Linked DNA regions of Canis lupus familiaris. The protein of the gene in region 1 purifies or fractionates together with the protein of each later gene. This does not show direct contact. Links are inferred from orthologs where the notes say so. Each region holds a gene or a part of one and is shown on either strand. Other genes may lie near its edges.

Evidence for each region. Proteins that work in one complex are often made in the same cells at the same time.
Region 2: the proteins of BIRC2 (region 1) and HTRA2 purify together in Homo sapiens (affinity purification with mass spectrometry; 4 studies listed by BioGRID and IntAct, counting the BioPlex papers as one, with this or other methods). This does not show direct contact. The link is inferred for Canis lupus familiaris from reciprocal best matches to the Homo sapiens genes BIRC2 and HTRA2.

The regions. Positions count from the first base shown.
Region 1 is NC_049226.1:29,451,214-29,455,382, reverse strand, and holds the start of BIRC2 (baculoviral IAP repeat-containing protein 2), read left to right. Parts: upstream 1-1,306; 5' UTR 1,307-1,314; coding exon 1,315-2,146; intron 2,147-2,237; coding exon 2,238-2,337; intron 2,338-4,169. Other genes in the region: proline-rich protein 2-like, read right to left, coding at 468-522. UniProt on the Homo sapiens protein: Multi-functional protein which regulates not only caspases and apoptosis, but also modulates inflammatory signaling and immunity, mitogenic kinase signaling, and cell proliferation, as well as cell invasion and metastasis.
Region 2 is NC_049238.1:49,111,600-49,115,755, reverse strand, and holds the start of HTRA2 (serine protease HTRA2, mitochondrial), read left to right. Parts: upstream 1-1,333; 5' UTR 1,334-1,336; coding exon 1,337-1,842; intron 1,843-1,945; coding exon 1,946-2,150; intron 2,151-2,238; coding exon 2,239-2,433; intron 2,434-2,674; coding exon 2,675-2,707; intron 2,708-2,945; coding exon 2,946-3,051; intron 3,052-3,198; coding exon 3,199-3,268; intron 3,269-3,953; coding exon 3,954-4,049; intron 4,050-4,156.

The DNA of each region.
Region 1 (4,169 bases):
AAATACAGTTTTCTAAAACAGCTTTTGTTTTTCTCTTTTCAGATTAACAGAGGGTCCACTTTGAAGAGTCCACTTTTTCCCCTCTGATTTCTTTCCTCGGCAGAAATAAACCCCGTTATGGAGAACCAGAAGCTTTCTAAAGGGATATAGCTTGAATTTTATGGAGTGTAATTTTGTGTATGAATTATAAAGGATCAAGGGTTTTCATAAGGAAGGCGCTAGTAGGATTAATTACTGGTCCATTGTGTAGAGACAGGTTTATAATATATTGTTATACGTGTGTGATAACACTAGATAACACCAGAAAGAGTAAGCTGTGTCTTGATAAGTTGATTAATCTTTACAAAATGAATGATGTTATAGAAACATGATTTTTTAAGTGAAAGATAGGTTGTTTGATTTTTAAATGCAGTGTTAAAGTTCCTGTTGTGGAAATTTTATGGTTAAGTAGTTGATGGAGAAAATACCTTCAGTTGACCAAGTGTAGTTGATATGCAGAGTGAGGAAGAAACAAATCGTCATGCTGTAGGAAATGGAAACAAGTACAGACAAAGGTGGAAGAGTTAGCAGTTAGCTTTAAGCAAAATTCATATGACATCATACATGCTAAAACAGGCAAGGTTAGGTCTGGAAAGCTGGTGAGTGTTGATACCCTCACATAAATACTGTGGTGATAACCTATGTGAAATTAGCCTTTAGATATTGTGACCATATGAAGAGTTTAATTCTTGTTTGCTGGAATAAAGCCAAGAGTTTTAAAAATATATTGAGGTGCTTGGAAGAGACCTGTGTATACTTTTTCCCACTCGAAGCATAATTGTGATTGGCTTAATAAACAGGTTTTGGAACTTGTAACTAAAAACATATTAACGGTATAATTTAGGTACCTTATTTAGAATTTTGGGAACATCAACCTTCTGAAGAATCAGGCAGTTTTAACATATTTCCGTAAGTGTGCCAATATCTTCTCAGGTCTTTATGTTGATATTACACCAAATAATGAGCAGTTAGCACTTGTTACATAAGAGTTAATCTGAAATAGTGCTAAGTAGTATCCTGGTAATTTAATATCCTGGATTCCAGGTATTATCTCACCTCAGTGTAAACTCTGGCATAAATCCCATAAAGAAGGTGTAGTGAGTTTTACAGAAGTAGGAGCCTGTCATTTGATTCTTTTATATGATAAAAACTAATTTTTTGTGAAGATAGAAGTTTCATGTGAAGGTTTTTAGCCATCAAAAAGTAACATCACTCATGCACAAAACTACTTCCCAAAGACTTGTCCCAGGTTCATATCAGAGGATTAAGAGGACAATGGAGGATAGCACCATCTTACGAAACCAGACAATTGGCAACAAACAAAAAATAAAATATGACTTTTCGTGTGAACTCTATAGAATGTCTACATACTCCACATTCCCGGCGGGTGTTCCCGTCTCAGAGAGGAGCCTGGCCCGCGCAGGCTTCTATTACACGGGTGTGAATGACAAGGTCAAATGCTTCTGCTGTGGCCTGATGCTGGACAACTGGAAGCCTGGAGACAATCCTGTTGAAAAGCATAAACAGCTCTATCCAAGCTGTAGTTTTATTCACAGTCTGGTTTCTCTCACCAGCCGGGATTCCACCTCTAAGAACATTTCTGCAATGAGAAACAGTTTTACACATTCGATATCTCCCACTTTGGAACATGGCTCATTTAGTGGTTCTCATTCCAACCTCGCAGCAAACCCTGTGAGTTCCAGAGCAGGTGAAGACTTCTCCCCACTGAGCACTAACCCCTACAGTTACGCCATGAGCACCGAGGAAGCCAGATTTCTTACTTATCACATGTGGCCGCTAACCTTTCTGTCCCCGTCAGACTTGGCAAGGGCAGGCTTTTATTATATAGGACCTGGAGATAAGGTGGCCTGCTTTGCCTGCGGTGGGACCCTGAGTAACTGGGAACCAAAGGATGACGCGATGTCCGAACACCGGAGACATTTCCCCAACTGCCCGTTTTTGGAAAATTCTCTGGAGACCCTGAGATTTAGCATTTCAAATTTGAGCATGCAGACCCATGCGGCCCGGTTGAGAACTTTCGTGTACTGGCCATCTAGTGTCCCCGTGCGGCCTGAGCAGCTCGCAAGTGCTGGATTCTATTACGTGGGTAAGAAACTAAGGTGTAGTGTATGATTTATCAGGTTCGCTTTGTTGAACATATCAGAACATGTATTTCAGTTCAGTCTTGTTTTCTTTAGGTCGCAATGATGATGTCAAATGCTTTTGCTGTGACGGTGGACTGCGGTGTTGGGAGTCTGGAGATGACCCATGGGTGGAGCACGCCAAGTGGTTTCCCAGGTAATTGCTTTGAAAGGTATTTCCACACAAAACTGCTTTCCAAAAGTAGGTCTGCTTGCAGGGTTCATGTTTACATCTCTGTGTAGCAAAGATGCTTTTATGCCTGTGGGGACTTGGTCTTTTAAAACACCAAATCTGGGGCATCTGGCTGGCTCAGTCGGAGGAGATTGTGACTCTTGCTCTCGGGGTTGTGAGTTTGAACCCCACATTGGGTGTGGAGGTTATTCTTTAAGATAAAAACTGAAAAAAATACACTGAATTTTTATTTTGATAAAAATGTTTTAGTATTCTCTTTTCTTTTGTAAGCTGTGTATTCAGGATATAATTTAATTTATTTATTTTTAAGATTTATTTATTTGAGAGAGAGAGCACTAGATGGGGCGGGGACAAGCAGACTTGATGTGGAGCTGGATCTCAGGACCCCGAGATCGTGACCTGATCACAGTCAGATACTTAACTGACTGAGCCACCCAGGTGCCCCTAATTTAATTTATTGATATTCATTTACAATTATGGCCATATGTTTTATCTGTAGGGTTCCCCTTTTGCCTTAAAGAAATTGTAAGGATTACAAAGGTGTGTAAAATAACATGAAAGAGCAGCCCGGGTAGCTCGGCGGTTTAGTGCCCCCTTCAGCCCAGGGTGTGATCTTGCAGACCGGGATCGGGTCTCAGGTCAGGCTCCCTGCATTGAGCCTGCTCTTCCCTCTGCCTGTGTCTCTGCCTCTCTCTCTCTGTCTCTCTCTCTCTCTCTGTCTGTCTCGCATGAATAAATAAATAAATCTTAAAAAGAAAAAAGTACATTGGAAAAAAGGGAAGAGGAGAAAAAGCGACATAAAATGATCTAGGAAAAGGCAAATACAAAAATGCATATAATGAAAGCTGATTAAGTCTGATTATAATTATGTTATTTTTTCTGTACAGTTAATCTTGTGATTGTCACTCATCTTTTCTTAGTCACTGTGTCTCTAGCAGTAGGTCCTGTTTTCCACTGTACCCCACAAAGAATTGAGAGGCAGTATTGTTTGTGGAAGTAGAATTAGAAATTCATTTTTGAGAAGCTTTGTGAACTTGGACATGTCGTGTGACCCATTTGAAACTCTGTCCTCCTTTGTATAGTGAGGGGGTTAGACTAGGTAATTTTTTAAATTGTGGTAAAAAATACCTAACAAAATTTACCGTTTTAACCATTTTTAAATTTCTCCTTCTGTATGTACTTCTCTGCATTCACATTGTTCCTCAGTCATCACCACCAGACTTTCCTGTCATCCCAAGCATAGCTTGTACTCCTCACATGGCTCCCCGTCACCCCCACAGCCATGGTTCTTCTGCATTTCACCAGGTGCCTCATAGGAGTGCAGTTGAGCAGGACAATGTCCTGACCTGAGTGCCTTTCATAAGAATGAGGAATCTCTTGAACACCTTCAGGAAATTAAAACATCCTTTTGTCTTTTTTTTTTTTTATGATTTAAGATAAAGGAACTTGAAGTAAGAACTATTTTGAGTCAGTACATTGTTAAAAGTTGTGTTTTGGAACGCCTGGGTGGCTCAGCGGTTGAGCATCTGCCTTTGGCTCAGGGCGTGGTCCTGGGGTCCTGGGATTGAGTCCCACCCACATCAGGCTCCCTGCATGGATCCTGCTTTTCCCTCTACCTGTGTCTCTGCCTTTCTCTCTCTCTCTCTCTCTCTCTCTCTCTTTCTCTCTGTCTCTCATGAATAAATAAATAAAATCTTTAAAAAAAAAAGTTGGGTTTTAAAATTTTATCTTTAATATTCATAACCTAACACGGTAAAATCTGACGTTCTAATTCTCAAAAGTGAAGTTGTGTTTAA
Region 2 (4,156 bases), on another chromosome or scaffold:
GGGCTGAAAATTGTGAAAAATCAAGGGCCCCCAAGCCTGACCACCTACCCAGCTGGAGACCGATACCTGTGCTCACCCACCTGAAGCGCAGGAGCCCCTCCCGGCCATTGGTGGCCTCTTCCTCAGGGAATAGCAGCAGAGGGGTGGGGGGAAGCCTCGTGGAAGCACAGAATCTCTTGAGTGACTCCACCAACTCCCCCCGCCCATCCATCTCCATGAAGCCCCGAGACCAGCACACAAAACTTGGGGGACTATTGAGTAGAGGCTGGGAATAGAGAAGAGAGAAAGCAAGAAAAGAATATTGGGAAGTGAGAAAAACTGACATCTAGGGTACAGAAGCGGGATTGGGGGTAAGCCTCAGTATTTCCCAGTGGTCCCCAAGGGAAACCCGGGCGGGCTAAGGGGAGCCTCCAGCTGGGCCCCAGGGAACCGCCCCGTAGAGCTCTCGGCTTTGCCCCCCACTCACGGTGCTACAGCTGGTGAGCAAGTTGACTATGTTATGGTCGAAAGGTGTCACGTGGTTGGAAATGAGGACCCTGACGCGGTGATCCCGGAGTCCGGAGTTCTCCTGCCGGGCCACGAGCCCCAGCACCGCACACATGGTCCGCACCACGAACCTGGGGACGCGGGCAGTGGTGACTCCACGGCCTCCGGCCGGGCCCAGCCCAGCCCTCCCCGGGACCCCCAGGCCGTTACCTGCGAAGGACACTGTCCGGTAGAGCGCAGCTGACCAGGAAGACGTGGATCCCAAGAAAGAGGCGCAGGACAAGGAGGCAGAACCCGACGGGAGCATAGAGCAGCAGCGCGAGGAGCAGGAAGCCGTCACCCGGGAGCCTGGGGGCGAAAGGCGGGGTGATCGGGCGCCGGAGGCCGAGTGCACGCGGGAGCCGGCCTCTTCCCGCCAGGGCTCTTACCGGTGAGAGTCGAAGAGCCGCTCCGGCCCCAGCGCCGGGGAAGGATCCATCGCGGGGGCTTTAGAGCTCTCCGGCCGCCGCCGCCATCTTCGCGCCCGGCCGCAGGGGCTCCTGGGAAGGCGGAGTCTTCGGGCATCCGCCCAGGGTGCGGGCACCCGAAATCTTGAGGCGCCCCGGAAGGGCTAGCGGTCCCAGCATGCCTCGCGGCCCTTGGGCCACCTAGGAACTCGCGTCCCGCGGGGACCACAATTCCCGGCATTCCTGGGGCGGGGGCGGAGTCGGCCTCCCGGAATCCTGGGTCCCGGCGTGCACTTCTGGAGGACTTCAGGTCCCGGCGTGCCCCGCGTCCCTCCGTCCGCCACCTCGCGTCCAGGGCGCCGCCTCTGTGTAGGGCGGGCGAGGAGGCAGTCGAGGCGGAGCTGATGGCTGCACTGAGGGCGGGGCGGGGTGCAGCCTGGAACCTCCGGGGATGGCGGGCTTTGGGGGGGGTTCACTCGGGGAAGGGACCCCTGCTGACCCCTGACCTCCGGGCCTTGCTGACGTCAGGAATTCCTGACCCCCGGGCCCGAGTGACTTATGGGACCCCCAGCCTCCGGGCCCGGTGGTCTGTGGGGGTCCCTGAACCACGGACGTGTCTGACGTCGAGGACTTCGGATTCCCGAGCATGGCTGGCTGTAGGGACCCCAGATCCCAGGACCCAGGAGGGCTCAGGGACCCCTGGAACCCGTCCGCGTATATGGCTGGCGGTGGCGCTGGGCGCTGGGGGGGCAGTGCTGTTGTTACTGTGGGGCGGGGGTCGGGGTCCCCCAGCGGTCCTCGCCTCGGTCCTTGGCTCGCCGCCCAGCTCTCCCCGGAGCCAGTACAACTTCATCGCAGACGTGGTGGAGAAGACAGCACCTGCCGTGGTTTATATCGAGATCTTGGGCCGGTAACGGTGGGGAAGGCAGGAGGCACCAAGCCGCGGGCTAGAGGGCGGAGGAGCCGGGGTGTGAGCCTCCCTGCATCCTTGCTTCTCACCCCCACCCCTCCAGGCACCCTTTCTCCGGCCGCGAAGTCCCTATCTCGAATGGCTCAGGATTCGTGGTGGCTGCCGACGGGCTCATCGTAACCAACGCTCATGTGGTGGCAGATCGGCGCCGGGTCCGTGTGAGGCTGCTCAGCGGCGACACATATGAGGCCGTGGTCACAGCTGTGGATCCTGTGGCAGACATTGCGACGCTAAGGATTCAGACTAAGGTGGGGGCTGAGCAGGCTGGGTCTGGTTGGGGCTGTGAATTTGCTCACATCTTCAGATGACAGGTCTCTTATACCCATTCTCTCTCAGGAGCCTCTCCCCACACTACCCCTGGGACGCTCAGCTGATGTCCGGCAAGGGGAGTTTGTTGTTGCCATGGGAAGTCCCTTTGCACTGCAGAACACGATCACTTCTGGCATTGTCAGCTCTGCTCAGCGTCCAGCCAGAGACCTGGGCCTCCCCCAAACCAATGTGGAATACATCCAGACTGATGCAGCTATTGATGTGCGTTCTGATATAAGAGAAATGACAAACTAGGTTGGGGGTTGGGGGAAAGGCTGTGTGGTACAGGCACCAACTGTTGATAGATGGCGGATGAGCCTGTATACAGAGGTTGGGCTGCAAATATGTGGCCACTCAGGTTGGGCTGGGAAAGGAGAGAATTTGGAAAAAGTGCCTACATCCTGGTCATGCCTCCAGGCATAGAGTTCCTGGATCTCTTCCATATTTTCTCCTTGTCCTGCAGTTTGGAAACTCTGGAGGTCCACTGGTTAACCTGGTGAGTGGGACATCCTTCTTTCCAAGAATCCCTGCCCCAGGTCAGTGTGAGAATGGGTGTGCTTCCTCTAATTCAACGATGTTTGGTCAAGTTTCTAAGCAGCCTCCTGTTGGCTATCTCCCAAAATCCAACCAGGTCTCCCCAGCCTGCTCCCTCATTCTCCCTGCTACTCTTGTTCAGGTATCCCCTCCTCCTACTATGTTTCTGGGCTAGGGATTAGTGGGCTCTGTTCCTGCAGGATGGGGAGGTGATTGGAGTGAATACCATGAAGGTCACAGCTGGAATCTCCTTTGCCATCCCTTCTGATCGCCTTCGAGAGTTTCTGCATCGTGGGGAAAAGAAGAGTGAGCCTGGCTTAGGGGGGAAGAAATTACTTTGAGTGGTGGGAAGGGCATTCATTGTGCTTTACTGGAGAGGGGTTGTCTACTGGGAGGAAAGGGAGGGGAAGGAAGGATGTAACTGGGTGGGGCTCATTTGTCCCTCTATCACAGATTCCTGGTTTGGAATCAGTGGGTCCCAGCGCCGCTACATTGGAGTGATGATGCTGACCCTGACTCCCAGGTACGAGCTTTGGGGGTAGTGACCTGTAGGACCACCAGTATATTCAGTGGTGGGCAAGTGGCACTTCTGTTGGGCTTTGTTCTCAGTTTTATCTTTATCTAAGATAAGTTGCCCCACACTAGGAGCTATCAGAAGAGCTATTCTCATGATCTTGACTTTCTCACTCCAATCCCTCTTGTACACCTGCTACCAGATTGATTTCATCCTGTTACTGCTTTGGTTTAAAAACTTCAATCCATTAGCCCGGTGCTTAGAGGCCATTTTCCATTTGTCTCCAATTTAACCTTTTAGATCTGGCTTCTTACAAGAATATATTCTGTTCCAGCTGACCTGGATTTCCTACTCCTATGGTTTTATTTATATTGCTCTTGTTTTATATAGTTAAATACCAGAACCATTTTATGCTCAGCTTATGTTCTACTCTCTCAAAGTTTCTCTTAGAATTCTAGAATGACATTAGTGCTATTGATTTAATATGATGTATCACTTGGAATGAGTTACCTTTTATACACATGTCCCACTTCCTAACTTTGAAAAGGCAGAAAGTGAATTGCCTTTGTATCCGGAGTATCTAGTGCATGCCCTTGTCCATGCAGTTGTCGGTGTGTTGATGAGAGATTTGAGGTGAACCCAAGATGGGGAGAGTGCCTTGGTGCTGTTAACAGAGTGATCTGTGTCCTTTTAGCATCCTTGCTGAACTACAGCTTCGAGAACCAAGCTTTCCTGATGTTCAGCATGGTGTACTCATCCATAAGGTCATCCTGGACTCCCCTGCACATCGGTGAGGAAGAGACTGCATTGTGAGGTGGGGATGGGTGACGTATGCATGTGCCCTTGAACCGGGCTGTCTATCCCCTCCTTTCTCTTTCTGTCTGTCTTTCACCATAG